Lonchura striata: one gene and its partner. The protein of the gene in region 1 interacts with the protein of each later gene in a biochemical or structural test. Links are inferred from orthologs where the notes say so. Each region holds a gene or a part of one and is shown on either strand. Other genes may lie near its edges.

Region 1 (8,042 bases):
TTTTGAGTTTAAGAACATAAGGATTGCATATGACTGTGGGTTAAAAGGGTATCAAAGAAGTTAGAAGCCAGCTCCTGGTCCAATTAAAATCCATTCAAATCTCATATGCAAAGAGTTCCTATTTAGATAGATCAACTCGAGCCTCAAAATTAGTACTCCCTTTATTCAAAGTGTTATGGATTACTTACATTACCACAGAGCAAACAAAATCTTCACATTTTTAAGATGTTTTATATCTTCAAAAACCTACACCCACGTTCCCTGCCCGGAAATAAAAAATGCATGGCGGACTCCAAGATTCTCACTTTTGGCATCCACGATGCCACTACATCCTGTATCACAAAATTTTTTCTAAAGCATTAGCTCTCATTTTTTAAATACATGAAGGCAATTCTATTAAATTTAAAAAAAAAAAAAAAAGAAAGCACAAAGAAAAAAAAAACAGAATGCATTCCTTTCCCAACAGATATGAAATTGCAAACTTGTCATAAACAGAGGATTGAGAATTAAATTATCAACTCAGGAAAATTGTGAAAAGGATTTCAAATTAAGTAACCAAATGGTTACTCAAAATCTTTGGCATGTCTCCCTCTTAACAAACCAAAACTATCTTTTCTATGTACCTAGATGTATCAAATCACCTTCCCAGCATTCTTGCATTTTTTTAACTGAAGAGCTAATCTGTAAATACTTTTGATAGTCTGGCCTTGCATCTGTTAAAAGACAGCACAGTCACCAGAAAGTTTGCCATTTTAATGGAAGATAATGCACTAATGTAAAATAGAAGTATCATTTTAAGCTACAACTAGAAATGTCCAAAACTCAGAGCAATGAATTACATGAATCACAGTACTCAGCCAACCTTGAACCACCATTACATTGTAGAAATCAGTTTGGCCTAAAAGCTCATTGATATACCAATCTCAGACCACATTTTCCAAGGAAGGCAAGCTGTCTTCTGCTAAGGTTTGCATTTCACTCATTAAACATCCAAAACACTCATCTAAGGTGCACTACAACACTAATGTTCTGCTTTTTCAGAGTTTCTTGTGATCATGCCTTATCATTCACCTGACACTTAATTTTTCTGCACAAACACACACAAATGCACAGAATTAAACAGTAACTGTTCTCCTTCCCTCCTGAACAGCATTTCCGGACAGTCTATCCTGCTCCTTCCTCCCACAGCATTAGACACAAAGGTAAACACGCACCTCAGTTTTGATTTGGTAGCACACAGAGAATAAACACATTCTATGTCACCATCACCTTTTGGGAAGAATAGGCAGGCATCACATGCTTGTTCCTGATATGGGCTGGAAAGGGAGGTGCAGGTGGTCCAGATTTAACAGCAATGCAGCAGAACCTAGAATACTATGACTGGAATATTGGAAGTTATTTGGGACCCATGGGCCACAGCTGCAGAGCAGACACAAAACTGCAGCCATCTGGGTGTACTCTTACCAGCTGGTGTAACGTGACGCATGTCAAAGACAAGAAAAATGCTACGTGGTTGATCTGCCCTACACCCACATTAGCTCACTCTTAATGTATGCAGAGTCAGGCAAATATCTCTACCTTCCAGTTCCTCAGCAGCTATGAAAACAGCCATATCTGCAATTTACTCTCTAAACCAAATTGCAATCCCACAGCCCAAAAAATCTACAACAGGAGAAAGCAAAAAGATATAGTTTTCCACCCTAGACCCACAGCCCCACCTCTCTTTAAGAGATTTATGATAGCAGTAAAACAAGTCTTGATAGACTGCTCCTATTGACTCTGATCCTTACAAAGAGATGTAATGCATACGGCTGCACTGGCCACGACTGTGATTCAGGCAATCATTGTTATCAAACAGCTTCTCCTGGGGAAAAAAAAAATAAAATAAAATAAAATAAAATAAAAAAAAAACACCTTCCTTTTCCTGAAACCAGAACGAGAAGGTAGCAGATGTCACCTTCCCCCCAGCCCAGGGGTGGAGAGCACGCTCCACGGGGAGGACGGGGAGATCCAGGCCCCCCTTGAGTTCCCTGCTGCAAAGCGGGACGCGGCCGCAGACCCCGGCAGCATCTCCCGACGCAAGAGGCTGCCGAGACCGTCCTGCTGCGACGGCGACCATTCGATCGCCGGATGCGAAATCCCCACATTGCCCCCTCCCACCCGCGCCCCCCATTTCTCCTATCCACCATAGGAAAGGTGTGCGTAGGGAAAAATAAATCTTAAAAAAAAAAAAAAAAAAAAAAAAAAGCAACCCCGTGCACTGGGGTATGCACGGCTCCACACAGCATTATTCTAGCCACATCCCACCCCCACCAAATAAAATAATGGAATAAATAAACAGAGGGAAGCACGCAACGCCTTGCCGGTGGCCGGGATGGAGGCAGTCATGGCCGCGCTGGCGCCGCTCTCCGCAGCGCGGGGCAGGTGCCGAGCTGCCCCGCTGGCTCGGAGATCGCACGCCCACGCAGCCGGACGGAGCCCGCCGCAGCGCCCGCACCCCGCTGCGGGCAGGAGCCGCCGGGCGGGGCCGGGCCAGCATCCCGCGGTGTCGGGCACCCGCCCCGCGGGCCCGCTGCCTCCCCGACACCCGCGCCGCGGCGGGGGCCCGGCCGGACCCCCTCCCGCTCCCCTCCGCACCTGGTGCGGGTCCGCGCCGCCTCCTCAGCAGGCAGTGTGGCTCCGACGGGGGCGGCGATGCAGCGCAGGGCAGAGAGCCCAGCAGCCAGCCGCTCCTCCCGCGGCCACCATCTTCTTCCTCCTCCTCCTCCTCCTGCCGCCGCCAGCACCGCCCGGGCCGGCCCCTCCTGCCGCACCGCCCTCACGCGTCAGCGCGCCCGCCCGCCCGCCCGCTCCCTCCCGGCAGGAGCCGGGCCCCACGGGCGTGGGCGGCGCCGGCCCGGCGGGGCCGGGGCTCGGCGCGGCTCGGCCGGGCTGCTCCGGGGCCTCCCGGCGCAGCGGAGCGCGGCCGTGCGGGCGGCGCGGCCCGGCCCCTCGTCGGTCACACGCCCGGCGCTCTCCGGACCGGCTGCCGGCCCCGGGCAGCTCGGAGCGAGGGACGCCCTGCAGAGCACCGACCTGTCCGTCTCACCTCCCTGGACACGGGCCCCTAGGTGGCCCAGGAGGGAGGAGGCTCCGCCCGCCAAGGAGGAAGTGTGAGGGTGGGTGTGCCAAGGCGCCGCAGCCTCATCGCCGCTGCGAGCGGGCCCCGGTCGTCCTCCTCACCTGGGGGAAAGCTACAATGACCGAGGTGCAGTACACCTCACCAAATTGTGCATGCAGCCTGCACGGAGGCTTACTGCTATGCTAGAAAGGGCTTGGCAGTGCCTCTTTCCCAAAATACTACACCCGTGTTCACATACACAAACACAAAGTGTTGGACCTTAGCGTGCATCTATATCCCAGCTGTAAAGTATCTCATACCTTCTCCAAGCTCCTTCTTGTAGTTAACTGCGTCAGCGACTCCACACATGCAGAAAATATCTTAAACTCCTCCACATAGTGTCTTGCTTTTATCGTATTTAAACAAAATTACCTATCAGAAGAAATACAGTTACTTTTTCACAGCCAGATTGATACCTAACCATTAAAAAAAAAATGCCAGGGGACTTTAAAAAACCTAGCAACTGCTTAAAAGTTGTAGTATTGGCAAATTAAATTGGCACATTTTGACACTATTGTTAATTTATCATTTTAGGGAACACATTGTGTTAAACATCTGTGAAGTGTTTAGGCAAATCCCACTGCAAACTATCAAAAGTAACCTGCGTGTAAAGGCTTCAAACTAATTACTATGATAACTTGCTGTTAGTTTGGATTTAAATTCTGTTTTCCCCCTTCTGGTGGATAGATACTTTTTGGTTCGTGGTAACACCACCTATTCTCCTGTTACAATGTAGTTCAGTCACTCTGCATTGCACAGCCGCATGTTTAAACGCCCAATGCCAAAATGCTACCGTATTCTCCAAATGAAGACTTGAAAAATGAGAGTATGAAAAAATATGTTTTAAAGAATTAAAAAGTGAATTAAACAAATTTATTATTTAGACAACTGCTATCAAAATCCCTTCCTTTGTTTTTAATACATTGTAACACTTTATTTCTTTCCCTTCTATGAATAGTTTCTATTCATCACTGTTTTTCTATCCTGTTCTGGAGGAATCTAACATTTGTAGCAAAAACAAATAAGCCTGGAGGCCATGTCTGTTCCCTTCTTTGCTATGTCCTTCATATATGGCTCTGGAATAACTCCGGGCTACCACGACTTAAGGTGTATAGAATATGCATGATTTCCAAAACTATCCATTCTTGGAGAGTTTCGTTAGACAAAACACTTAACTTGCAATCAAGCTCCTTCCCCCTGTTCTTCCTCTCAAAGTAATGAAGTTGGTCCCGAATGGGATCTAAACTTGTCCTTCTCTAAGAGAGACGTTTGCTCAGGTGACCTCTAGGGGTCCCCTCCGACCTGCGTTTTACTGTTATATTGCTATAGTTTAAAAATATTAACAATAGCAGTCTCAATGACTGCTAAATTATATCCTAGAGAAGTTTCATGTCCTAAACGCATTTTTCTCACAAAGCTCCAATTAACGCTTGTGCTTCACAGCCCATGATGACAGTTCTTCTAGCACACAAGTTGTCTGTGAACCCGAAGAGACAGACACTGTTAGAATGCAACAGTATTAGTATTGTTAATGCTGCACTAGCATTGACCTTCAGGCTCTTGTTTTCATTATCATGATTATTTAGTGAAATTTCAATCTAGAAAATTAAAACCAACTGAAAAACCAGTAGGAAAATCACCAAGACTAATCTGTAACATTTATAAAATCAAGTAGCACTGCAGATGAATCAACAATGTCTGCTGGATATTAAATTATAACCTTCTGAAGGTGACAGCTTTGTAAGAAGCTGTGGTAATCAGTGACAAATACATAGCAGCCAGATACTAGCATATTCAGAGAATCTTGCTAGGTAAAAAGCACTATTTACACTGAACCCATTTTTTCATTGTATGGGGGCGGGGGGGGGGGGGGGGTCATAGGGAGGGTAGGGAGGAGGAAGGGGTGGGTGTTGCTGTTTATATATCCATTAGCCTAGATAAAAGCTTTGGCCCAGGCAGCTCAGACACATTTTTCCTACATTAGTTTAGTAATCCAGTCAGCTTCTATGTGTTTTCAGGAACTAGACATTGCAATGATCTTAGCTTTGTGTGATACTATTTTCAGGCTTGGGCCAAAAGCAAAACAGCTCTCACAGACTTAAAGAAAAGTGCAAGCTTGACATTTTTAAGGTCAGATAGCTCAAGACCCATAAGGGCTGGAAATGAATGCTTTCTACTATCTGAAATCTTAGGATTACAGCTTTCACATCTCAAAATGCATTAATCACTAATTGTACTGGTCTGAGCATTACCTGTTGCTAGAAGGGAGTAGGCTGTTACTGGGGTGCTTGGTGGTACTGAAATAGGCGGGTTTCAGAAATCAAAATGTTTTCAAATTCTGGTACTGGATCAATAAACTAAAGAAAGCCAGTTTTATGAATAGTATCTTCCAGACTCAACCATCTTATCTTCTTTACTTGCTGCTTGGTCTGAAATATCTAAGTGAACAGCATGGAATCACGTCTATGGTTTTCAAGCATAAAAATCCAATTTTGTCAACTATTCTGACTTCCCATATAAAATTTCACTGTGCCTTCATCCAATCTGTCTGTAACTCCTTAGCAGCATAAGAAACACTTAGGTTCCACAGGCAGTGATTTTCCATGCCAGGGAATGATACCTTAATATAACTTCCAAGCACTCCTGCAATCTCCACGTGCACAAGGAGGATGCTCTTCTTTATCACTTAGAGAGGTGTAGTCTTTAAGGTAGTATTGGAAGAAATCAAACACTTTATTCTGTAAATGCTACTTCTGTCTTATCTTTGATTATATTTTATATTCACTGATTCAGAAAATAAAAAATGGAGATAAAAAGAAATATGATAATATCTTGAAAACTAGTTACTATATGTATCTACTAGACATAGGAAGTCTCAATTTCACTGACATAGCCAGACTCACAGAAGCCATAAAGTAGCTTTTATCCTTCACAAAGGATATCAGCCTTGAGGTTTCTAGACAAGCAGGTCCGTCTGCCCATTCTGCACAGTGATAAAGCAGGTGTCTCATGCTCTGTGTTACTTTCCTTTGGGGTGGTGAGCCCATATTTCCTTCTGTATACATTCAGTAGGTGTCTCATCCCCTAATTTGCCCTCCAAATGTAAAGAAAGATAAATTTTATATTTCTGCTTCTCTTATGGAAACGCCTAATCAGAGAGAAATGGAGACAGGCATCTTGCCTTCTCTCCCCTCAATGTCCAGACTCATCAACAGGTTGTACCAGTGCTACTTTCTGTTCCTGTGCAATCTGGCAGTTTAACCCGTAAGATGGTAAGTTTGCAGTGGTTAGTTCTGCTAGCAGGGATAGTAAAGAACTGACACTTTCCCAGTTCATTTTCATACTCCTAATTATGACTCAGTGCAGCCAGCTTTGACTTGCTGTGTATCAATAAGCATTTAAGTCTGCATCCCTATTTTTAATCTAGTGGATACACTTAATTAATGCAAGTATGTTCTCTTCATCAGTTGAAGACCAACTGCTGACCAAAACAACCCAAAGTCCTTCTAGACAGAAGGGGATTTCATGTTGTTCCCTCTCCATCCTCATTACAGTCACTTAGAAACTGCTTCTCAGCTCTGCCACCCTTTCCTCTAATTACTCAGTTCAAGTAGTACTTGCAGTTTTCCCTTTGTTTTTGTTGCACTATCTTACAGGGAAAACTGCAACTACTGCTCAAATCTCATGAACAGATGGAAAGTGAATTTTAATTTCTGTATTAATTCAATTCAAGCACTACCCAACTGAACAGTCTGTGTTTCACGGGACTGTAGGCCCTAATAACATTATTCATTTGAGGACTTTTTGAAAGCTTTTACTTTTCCAGTCAAAGTGAAAAGGCTTCAGAAAATAAAGAGTAAAGCTAGCTGTCATGGGATTAAAACAAACAAACAAACACCCAAAAAAAACACAAACAAAAAAAAACTACACTGAAGCAAGGTTTTCAGTCTTCTTGGAAACAAACCTGTTTGTGCAAGGCTATGTATAGGCACAGAGTCTCTGCTCACTTATAGGTATCTGATCAAGGACCTTTCAATACCAAAGGGCATAACAAGTAAAGGGGGAGCAACAAACCCAGCAAAGAGAGACACAAACCCAACAGATGAACTAACAGAGGCAAAGACAAGGAAAAAACCTAAATGACAGGTTATTAAAAAACCACAGGTAAACTGGAAATGTTGCAACTGATGAGGATGCAAACCTAACGGTCTGGGGTGTCCAAGGCAATTGGTGTACCTGTGCAGACACGTGAAGGATTAGCAGGAGTGGGGATGGGGAAGTAGTGGACAGTGGTAGACAGCAAGGGGTACAAAAGGGACCAGTTACTCATAAAACTCAGCCAGACAGCACCTTGTAAAGACAGCAATTATGCACAGAGAGATCTTTCTTCCTTGTTTCCTAAGAGAAAGCCATATTGTCCTTCAGTAGCAAAGACACCCCAGTGAGGAAAGAAATTAAGATCAACAGATTATCGGTGGCTACTAAATTTTCATGGCTTCACCAGCTTGTTTGAACTGTTGAGAAATCTCACTGGCTTAAAGCAGTCAAGACCCATACAGCTAAAGATGTATACCCAGACATGCTAACACTGAAGAACTCAGATATCATTTAGTTTTCCTTTGCTTCATGCCTGCATGTATTAAAAGATGTAGGTTTTTAGTTTTAGAGTGGATAATGATAATGCCAAGACTAATTTTTCTCTTCCTATCTTCTGTTTGACTCCACTTGGTAATCATTGCCATTACTAAAGTAATCACTAAGTGCAACTTCCATTATGTCACTCTATCACTTTCCGCAATCAGACAGAGGTGTGAGGCAGATTAATACTTCTGTTTAAACAAAAGAACTTATATGGTGAAAGAAAGCAAGACCATTAAAACTT
Region 2 (7,494 bases), about 62 Mb from region 1:
AAGCTGTCCCCAGGATTTTCACAGCACCCTTTCAGGTGAAAAACCTGAATGGTCCGAGAGTAGCAGCCAAAGAACTCTCTGTGTAGCCATGTGTCTTGTTGCAACATTCGAATATAGATTCACAACAGTGCTAAAGACATGAATTCTTCTGTAGGTGCATGGAGCCATGTCTGCTCTGGTTTGTGTTCTGTGTATTGCCTGAGAAAAAAAAATGTTTTAAATCCTAAATGTAGTCATTAGTGTAGGTGCAATAAGTGTAGTTGCAATAAGCAGTAAAATGAGCCATACACAGATGGCTTCTGTCCCCTCCCCTTTTAACAAATACAGCCTGAAAGAAAATTTGCAGCTTTGCACTAAGACAAACTGTGCTATCCTGACCCTAGTGGAAAATAACAAACCAAAACAAGAAACCCAAAACATTGTTAAGACTAGTAGTTAACGCTACTCTTATTTCTGAAAATCAATTTTTACTCTATGTCATACCTACTATATAGAGATATATGATTTAAAAAATACATGTAACAATTTAAGGTGGATATGATAATTATTTTTTCTTTAAAAATGGCTTAAAAACATTGCAAATATCACTATTAGTGTACCTAGCATTATGTGTTTCTGTTCATTTATTTTTGATTTATATTTGTCTTTGAGCATTTCTGCTCTCTGCAGTCTCTGCAGACAATTACAGCAGTGTTTTTCTGCAGGGCTGGGAATAGTACTGGGAAGATTTTACGTGATAATGAAAGAATTCTATTGCATTAAAAAGACACATTCTCCAGCTGCATTATACGACTAGATGCTGTAAAGAGAAACCTGTAATACCAATACAACTGCAGCAGGTGGCACTGGAAGGAGGGTTAACCAAGGCCATGATGCAGATGAGGGGACCAAGAAAACTAAGCAGAAAAAATATGAACATAAACGTTTAAAATTTTTATCCTTATTTCCAGTCTCCTGAAATATAGTTGCAGTATCACTGTTACTTGGATAGTAAATGTGAGCTTGATGGAGCTGAGCTAGTGAAGGGTGAGGTGAAGAAGTAAGTGAATAGCTAATTTCTAATTTGGTTGATGTCTTTGAATGAGGAATTTACTGGGAGGGAATAAAACAAATATTCTCAGTCAGCCAGTATGTGTTCCATAGATTTTTCATACTTCTATTTTTGTGCTTTGCAACCAAATTATTATTTTGTTGTTATTAAATAATATATAGTGAACAACTGTGATACACTGAAAACAATTGTCCTGTAAAGTGGATTTTGTACCAGAGCAGGAGAAAGTGCTTATAACTGTCCTTTTTAAAGTTATAATAAAAGTGATATATATTTATTTATTTATAATAAATAAAGTTATATAAAAGCAATCTGCTTATTAATTGTAAGCCATTTAAAATTGGTTTACAATTTATAAGCTGATTGCAATAATACCAGGACTATGGTTAGTGTGAATTTAAAAGTGTTTCTTCTTTATAGACAAAATGTCACAGTGTAAATAATTTAAAGAGGAATAATTTAGTTTCCGTCTGCTAGAAAAAGGACTTCACTAGAAGGTCCTTTATTTGTAAATGAAGGCAGGCAATACCCAGATCAACTAATTCAAGTTTTGAACAACTAAACTTTGCAGATGTTTTATCTGTAAGGATTATTTTGTAAGAAGATACAATTCTTCTGGGGAATTTGCAGTCTTTCTAAATAGAATATATGAAGATCAATTGGAAAAGATTCTCTATAAAATCAAGTGGTCATAATGTTGCATTTCAAAGGCAAATAAAATGAATAAGCTTTTTGGTGTTTGGGGGAAATTTCAAAAGAAAGATATGAGAAGAAAAACAAAACAGAGTGGGGGAAATTTAAAAATTACAATAGGAAAATAGGCTTGTAAGAAACAGAGAGACTTGTATGAGTTCCAGAAAGAGGAGCTCAGAAGTTAGTGAAAAATCTGGATGCTGTAAGGAAGAGAAATGGCAAACGAGATGCTGGCATACAGAGATATGATTATGTGAGCAGAAATATTTCACGGATGCAGGAGAAAGATACGATGCAGAAGAAAAGAGGAGGTTGCAATATTCTCTGTGAGTCAAGCTATGTTATTTTATGCACTTTACCAGTGCCAGATACCATAGAGCCATCTTTGGATAAATAGATGATTATCTTGATATTCCAGATACATACTGTATAGACTTCTGTAATTCTAGCTGTCCAAACAGAAACATATGTACATGTTTTGGCATACCATTTTATTCTAAGACTGGCTTTTCCAAAATTATAAAAGTACATTATATCCATGTGTATATTTGCATGCAATACAGTCCAAAAAAAAAAAAAAAAAAAAAAGGAAAATTCTATGACCTTTGTCTGTTAGATGTTCATTTTTTATGACTATAAGCTATTTTAGAAAACAAATATTTACCCACAATGGAATTGGCATTTTTACTGAATTTGCATTACATTACCAGAATAATAATTCTTTCTTATTCAAAGCCCTGGGGATCTTAGAGCTAATCCTAAAGAACATCACTACATTGAAAGTCCTTGCCAAGATTTTATGTGATATTTGTCCTATTTTTAAGCATGAAATTTTGTCTAGCTGCAGAGTCAAGGACCATCTCATGGGATATTCTTTAGAGATGGGATGCAGCACATGGAACATTTTAATACTCATATTAATTTAGTTAGAAGGTCAATATTAACTCAAGGAACTATATAGCAAAGAAATCGAGCTTCTGGACAGTGACTCTGTGGTTGTATTAAACTCTGGAAACAGAATGTAGAATTTATAGGTTGATTTAGGAGAGCTGGAAGGCAGGTTATGATTCACATAATCTTTAATACAGTTTCTTCACGCATTTTTGTTCAAATAAAAGTTGACATGGAGAAGTGGAAGGCCAGCTGCATAATAGCTTGTTAACTTCACTTGAAACTTTCTACCCAATATAGCAATTTAGAAATGGGCCTTTTTGTCTCAATCATGCTGATTTGCTACTTTTGAAAGGATATAACAAAAACTTGCCTTCTAAGTTTTTTTTTTTTTTTTAGTTGTTTCGGCTGAGCTGAAATACATTTTTGCAAAACCTAACACAGTTTGGCTTTGGTAGCATAAAACCAGAACACATTTTACTCTTTACTTGTGTAGATGAATAAGAATATCCTTCAGCGGACAAGGTAATGGATTTAAATAATCAACAAAAATTCAGAAGCTAAGGGAGCTTAATTCATGTTTTGTCTCTATCCCACAGTTATTCTTGACACCAAACAGTTCTACATAGCAATTTGCAGAAAAGTCTGTAGTTTCTGCAACGCAGAAGAGGGAACACTCAGTAACATTATACCTTGTGTCTAACCCACAGACAGCAGTATCACTTAGGATGAATAATCCCGTTGGTACACAGGAGCTGGTAGATAGCTCAAATGAAGTAGGAATACAAAATTTGGACCACTAGACTAAATATGCAAATGCTGAGTCTGCTTTTGATATATATCACAGTCATAACGCATGCAGGTTCATACTGTCATTGTAATTTCTGCCAAAACATAGGCAGTGCATACAGCATGAACACTGCAGAAGCAGCAGTGATGGGGCCATTGATGTGGTCCTTTAATGCAGCTTTTACCCTCACTAATGTCATGAGTTTGCTAATACGCAGTCATATTTCTCACACTTGAGAAATAATGTTAGCATATACAGTAACTCAGACCGTTTCACAAAAAAAGCAAAGCAAACTCAAGCAAACAAACAGAAAACCAAACAAAACCCCCCAAAAAACCATACACTTTTAAATTATAGTTTGAATGTAATGACTTAAAATTCCTCTGAAGTTCTTTCTCAAATGAAGCTATTTCCCAAACACAAGGAATAGGAGGGTTTACTTCCTATACTTTGTGAAAGTATAGGAAGTAAAATGCTCTATGTGGCATTTGGGGGCAAAAGTATTTTGGGAAAGACAGGTGCAATCATACGTTTATATTATGTTTATGTGTTTACTCTTAAGAGTTGAGAATATAACTCTTTAATGCCAGCATTAATAAAGCCCTGCAGGGACAGTGGTGGTGCCTTTTCCCGAGGGGCAGCCAATCACTCGCTCCTCAAGCGAAGGCAGCAAACCGCTTTCCTTTTAAGAGAGCAGAACTCGCAACTTGTACAAAAAAAAAAAAAAAAAAAAAAAAAAAAAAAAAAAAAAAAATTAAGAAAGGAATAAAAATCGCTAGGCGGGGGAAAGGCTGGGCAGCGCGCAGAGGCAGCGGCGGCGCAGGGGCGCAGGGGCGCAGGGCAGGCGGAGCGCCCAGCGCCGCCCCGGGGCCGCCGCCGGGGGTGTCCGCGCCGCGCGGAGCCGCAGCGGCAGCAGCGCCGAGCGCAGCCGGCAGCGCCGAGCGGAGCCGGCAGCGCCGAGCGGAGCCGGCTGCCGGCAAAGCCCCGGTGCCTCTGTGGCACTGCTGGGGGCGAGGTTCTCGCTCTCTCGCTGCTGCTCCTCCCGGCTTGCTGCTGCGAGACCGAGAAGCAGATGCGGAGGTGAGCGTGCGTGCGGCAGGAGATGCGGAGCGCGCTTGGCTGAGGTGCAAGACCCCTGGGAAGCGCTGCGAGAAGAGGCGGGGAGAGGCAGTGGGAAGGAGGCAGGAGCAGAACTGAAGTACAGCGCAGCTGTTTCCGAGTACTCTGGTTCTTTTGGGTGCCTCAATGATTGTGAACATGGATTCTGTCACTGAAATCTTCTTGAAGCTGCTCTTTCTCCTGTCTGTTCATCGCCAGCACATGGCAGTGGCAGGGAATAAATGTAAGTATTGCATATGCTTTAAAACTCAATCCAGAGTGTGTTGAAAACTTCTGGATTTTTTTTTTTTTTTGCATTACAATAAATATAATTTTTGAGATGAACATTTATGCTTTGAAATCATGACATCAAGCTGCTAGCCTAAAAATTTTCTAAAACTCTTCTATAGATTTTTGTCATGAGTCTGTGTACAGAATGTTGTTTATAAAGCTTACTGTATAAGAGTATCTGAAAGCAGCATTTTCTAAGGGATGCATGTTCAGATGTATTTTAATTTTGTTTTCTCTTTTGAAGTGCAGTATTTTCCAAGGAATTGTGTCTTATGTGGAAATTACTGGCAGACTTCTATTGTGCAATGTTTCTATTGTGTAGTGGATTTTAGCATTTGGAAATTTTGAAAGCTGGTATCTGCATATCCTGGATTAAGCTGGCACTCAACTTGAATGGCAATCACAGTGCAGTTCAAAAGCAGTAGAAATGTAACAAGGAAAAATGTGGGTAGCAAGGCTCTAAGGTCTCTGCATTGATTGCTTAGGGAGTATTGTTCATGCATGACTACAGAAGAGAATGCTAACAGTTGCAATAGAAAGTTTTTTGTTTGGTTGTTTTTTGTTTTTTGGTTTTTTTTTAATGAGTTAACCCATAGAGTGGTATCACAGAATAAAGACTGTGATTACATTTTTAAGGACAATCTGCTCTCTAGGAGGCAAATCATATATACATAGATGAAAGATAGATACACATACACACACACATATATATGTGTACCTGAAAAAATTCTGTTTCCGGTATTGATTTAAACTAATTACCTTTAAATAAAAAAGGAAAAAACTTATTAAGAAATTAATTTTCAGGGCTTTTATAATTCAGTAATAGAACTGAGTTATTTTTGTTCCATTTGATTCAGCTTCAACAAGCTGGAGGATTTCATTTTGTGTTCTGTGGTAGTGCAGTAGCCTAAATGCCAGATGCTCATAACCTGAATTGAACATATTTTCTCCCCTTCCTGTTAAGGCACTGGTTGTGCATCACAGGAATGGGAAGGGCTGAAGTAATGCTTCTGTGGGAAGAAAGTGCATGCCAAAGCAATGAGGAATGTTCAGGAACAACCTTATAGCCCAGTGGCAGGGGACAGCTCCCTAGAAACATTTGAGCAATGGCAGAGAAGTTTGAAGTGCTCAGTAGATCTATAGCCTAGGGTTTTGCATATGGATGGTTTGTAAACTAAACATGCTCCCATGAGCCAGACATTCACACTGCAGCACCAAAATGATCTTGTGCTGTCATTCAGTAATGATATCTCATTTGATACTCAAGTGCATAGTGTAGCCCTAAACATGAATACTAAGTTCCTCATGTTAAACACCCTGCTGCAATCCAGTCACAGCTTTAATTCTCTTCATCATTCTGCATTGTACAGTTTATGAATACATCCATTTTCACAAGACCATGATAATTGAATTGCACATTAATAGCATTTGGCACTATGCACGAAACTAAATCAGTTCCTTACAGGGAGGCATATTAAAACCATTGCAAAGAAAAGCTTGCATCACACAGCAAAGCAGTAAAGCACTAGAGGTCACTCTTACAATCTCGGAAGCAAGGTTTGAGGAAGAGGCTCAAGCTTCTTTCCAATATAGAATTCTGAAGGATGAAACAAATCAAGTATAAAATACATTCACTACCTATTCACTTTCTCAGCTACATCTCAAAAACAGGGCAAAATCCTATGTCAAATGGTTGAATTGAATAACAGAGTTTTTCCTGTATATGCTACTATTTTTAAATGCAAAGTATTTTTATTTAGGAATAAATCCTAACTACTATGTCAAAACACTGATCTGAATTGAAAATACAAGAACTCTGCCCGTGCTACAGGCAGGTTACATTATTATGGGAAAAATAAATTAAATTATTTAAAATAAACAATGAACACTAACCTATGGAGAAAACTTGGCCAGCATAAAGCATATTGTTTATTTTTAACATCTAATGTGAAAAAAAAATCCCTATATATATTATTTTGGAAGTGAACATTTCTGTAGAAGAGGTAGTTTGTTTTAGAAGTGACAGTTTACATCTTAAGTATTATGGTACAAATTTTGTTACCATATTACAATTCAAAAAAATTACCTTAGGAGAAAAGGTTTTTCATAATTACTTATTATGGTAGATCCATGCATGAGCCATTATCTACTTACTTGAACTTTACTCCTTTTTTCTTGTAGTGTTAACCAGGAATTGAAATCTTTTTCAGTAGGTGCTTCTACTATTGGCATTAATGTACTTAAACCCATTTACAAAATCAGGTAAAGTTTGAATGTCTTGAATGAATTTTGATGGCTAGATTTTTCAGTAGGCTGCCAATCATCAAACACAATAGGACGAGGTTTTAATTTTCCTTCTATATTAATATTTTTTCTCATTTTAATTTTATGGTTCTTTCTGTAGTATTAGATCCTGAATACTTAAGTTTTGCTTTGCCTTTAAGGTCAGCGCCCAGTAAGAAAAGACAAAATCAAAGACCTTTAAAAGTCATTTTGAAGTGTTATTGGTAATATTACTAAGTCAGTAGTCCGAAGAAAATTTCCTAGATCAAAAATTGATGTGTTTAAAATTATTTCTGTCTTAAAAATTTGCAATATTCCTCTTTTGAATAAAATGATTCTGAATTTCTTAGGTTTTGGGAGCTAACATTTTTAATATTTTAAATATTTTAAATTTTCT

What was found.
Region 2: the proteins of APBA1 (region 1) and CNTNAP4 form a complex in vitro, tested with the Homo sapiens proteins (2 studies listed by BioGRID and IntAct, with this or other methods). The link is inferred for Lonchura striata from reciprocal best matches to the Homo sapiens genes APBA1 and CNTNAP4.

Annotation. Positions count from the first base shown.
Region 1 is NC_134642.1:71,715,117-71,723,158, reverse strand, and holds the start of APBA1 (amyloid-beta A4 precursor protein-binding family A member 1), read right to left. Parts: upstream 3,159-8,042; 5' UTR 3,076-3,158; intron 2,812-3,075; exon of another isoform or gene 2,638-2,811; intron 2,471-2,637; exon of another isoform or gene 2,364-2,470; intron 2,135-2,363; exon of another isoform or gene 1,270-2,134; intron 1-1,269. UniProt on the Homo sapiens protein: Putative function in synaptic vesicle exocytosis by binding to Munc18-1, an essential component of the synaptic vesicle exocytotic machinery. May modulate processing of the amyloid-beta precursor protein (APP) and hence formation of APP-beta.
Region 2 is NC_134642.1:9,352,991-9,360,484, forward strand, and holds the start of CNTNAP4 (contactin-associated protein-like 4), read left to right. Parts: upstream 1-4,362; 5' UTR 4,363-4,670; coding exon 4,671-4,767; intron 4,768-7,494. UniProt on the Homo sapiens protein: Presynaptic protein involved in both dopaminergic synaptic transmission and GABAergic system, thereby participating in the structural maturation of inhibitory interneuron synapses.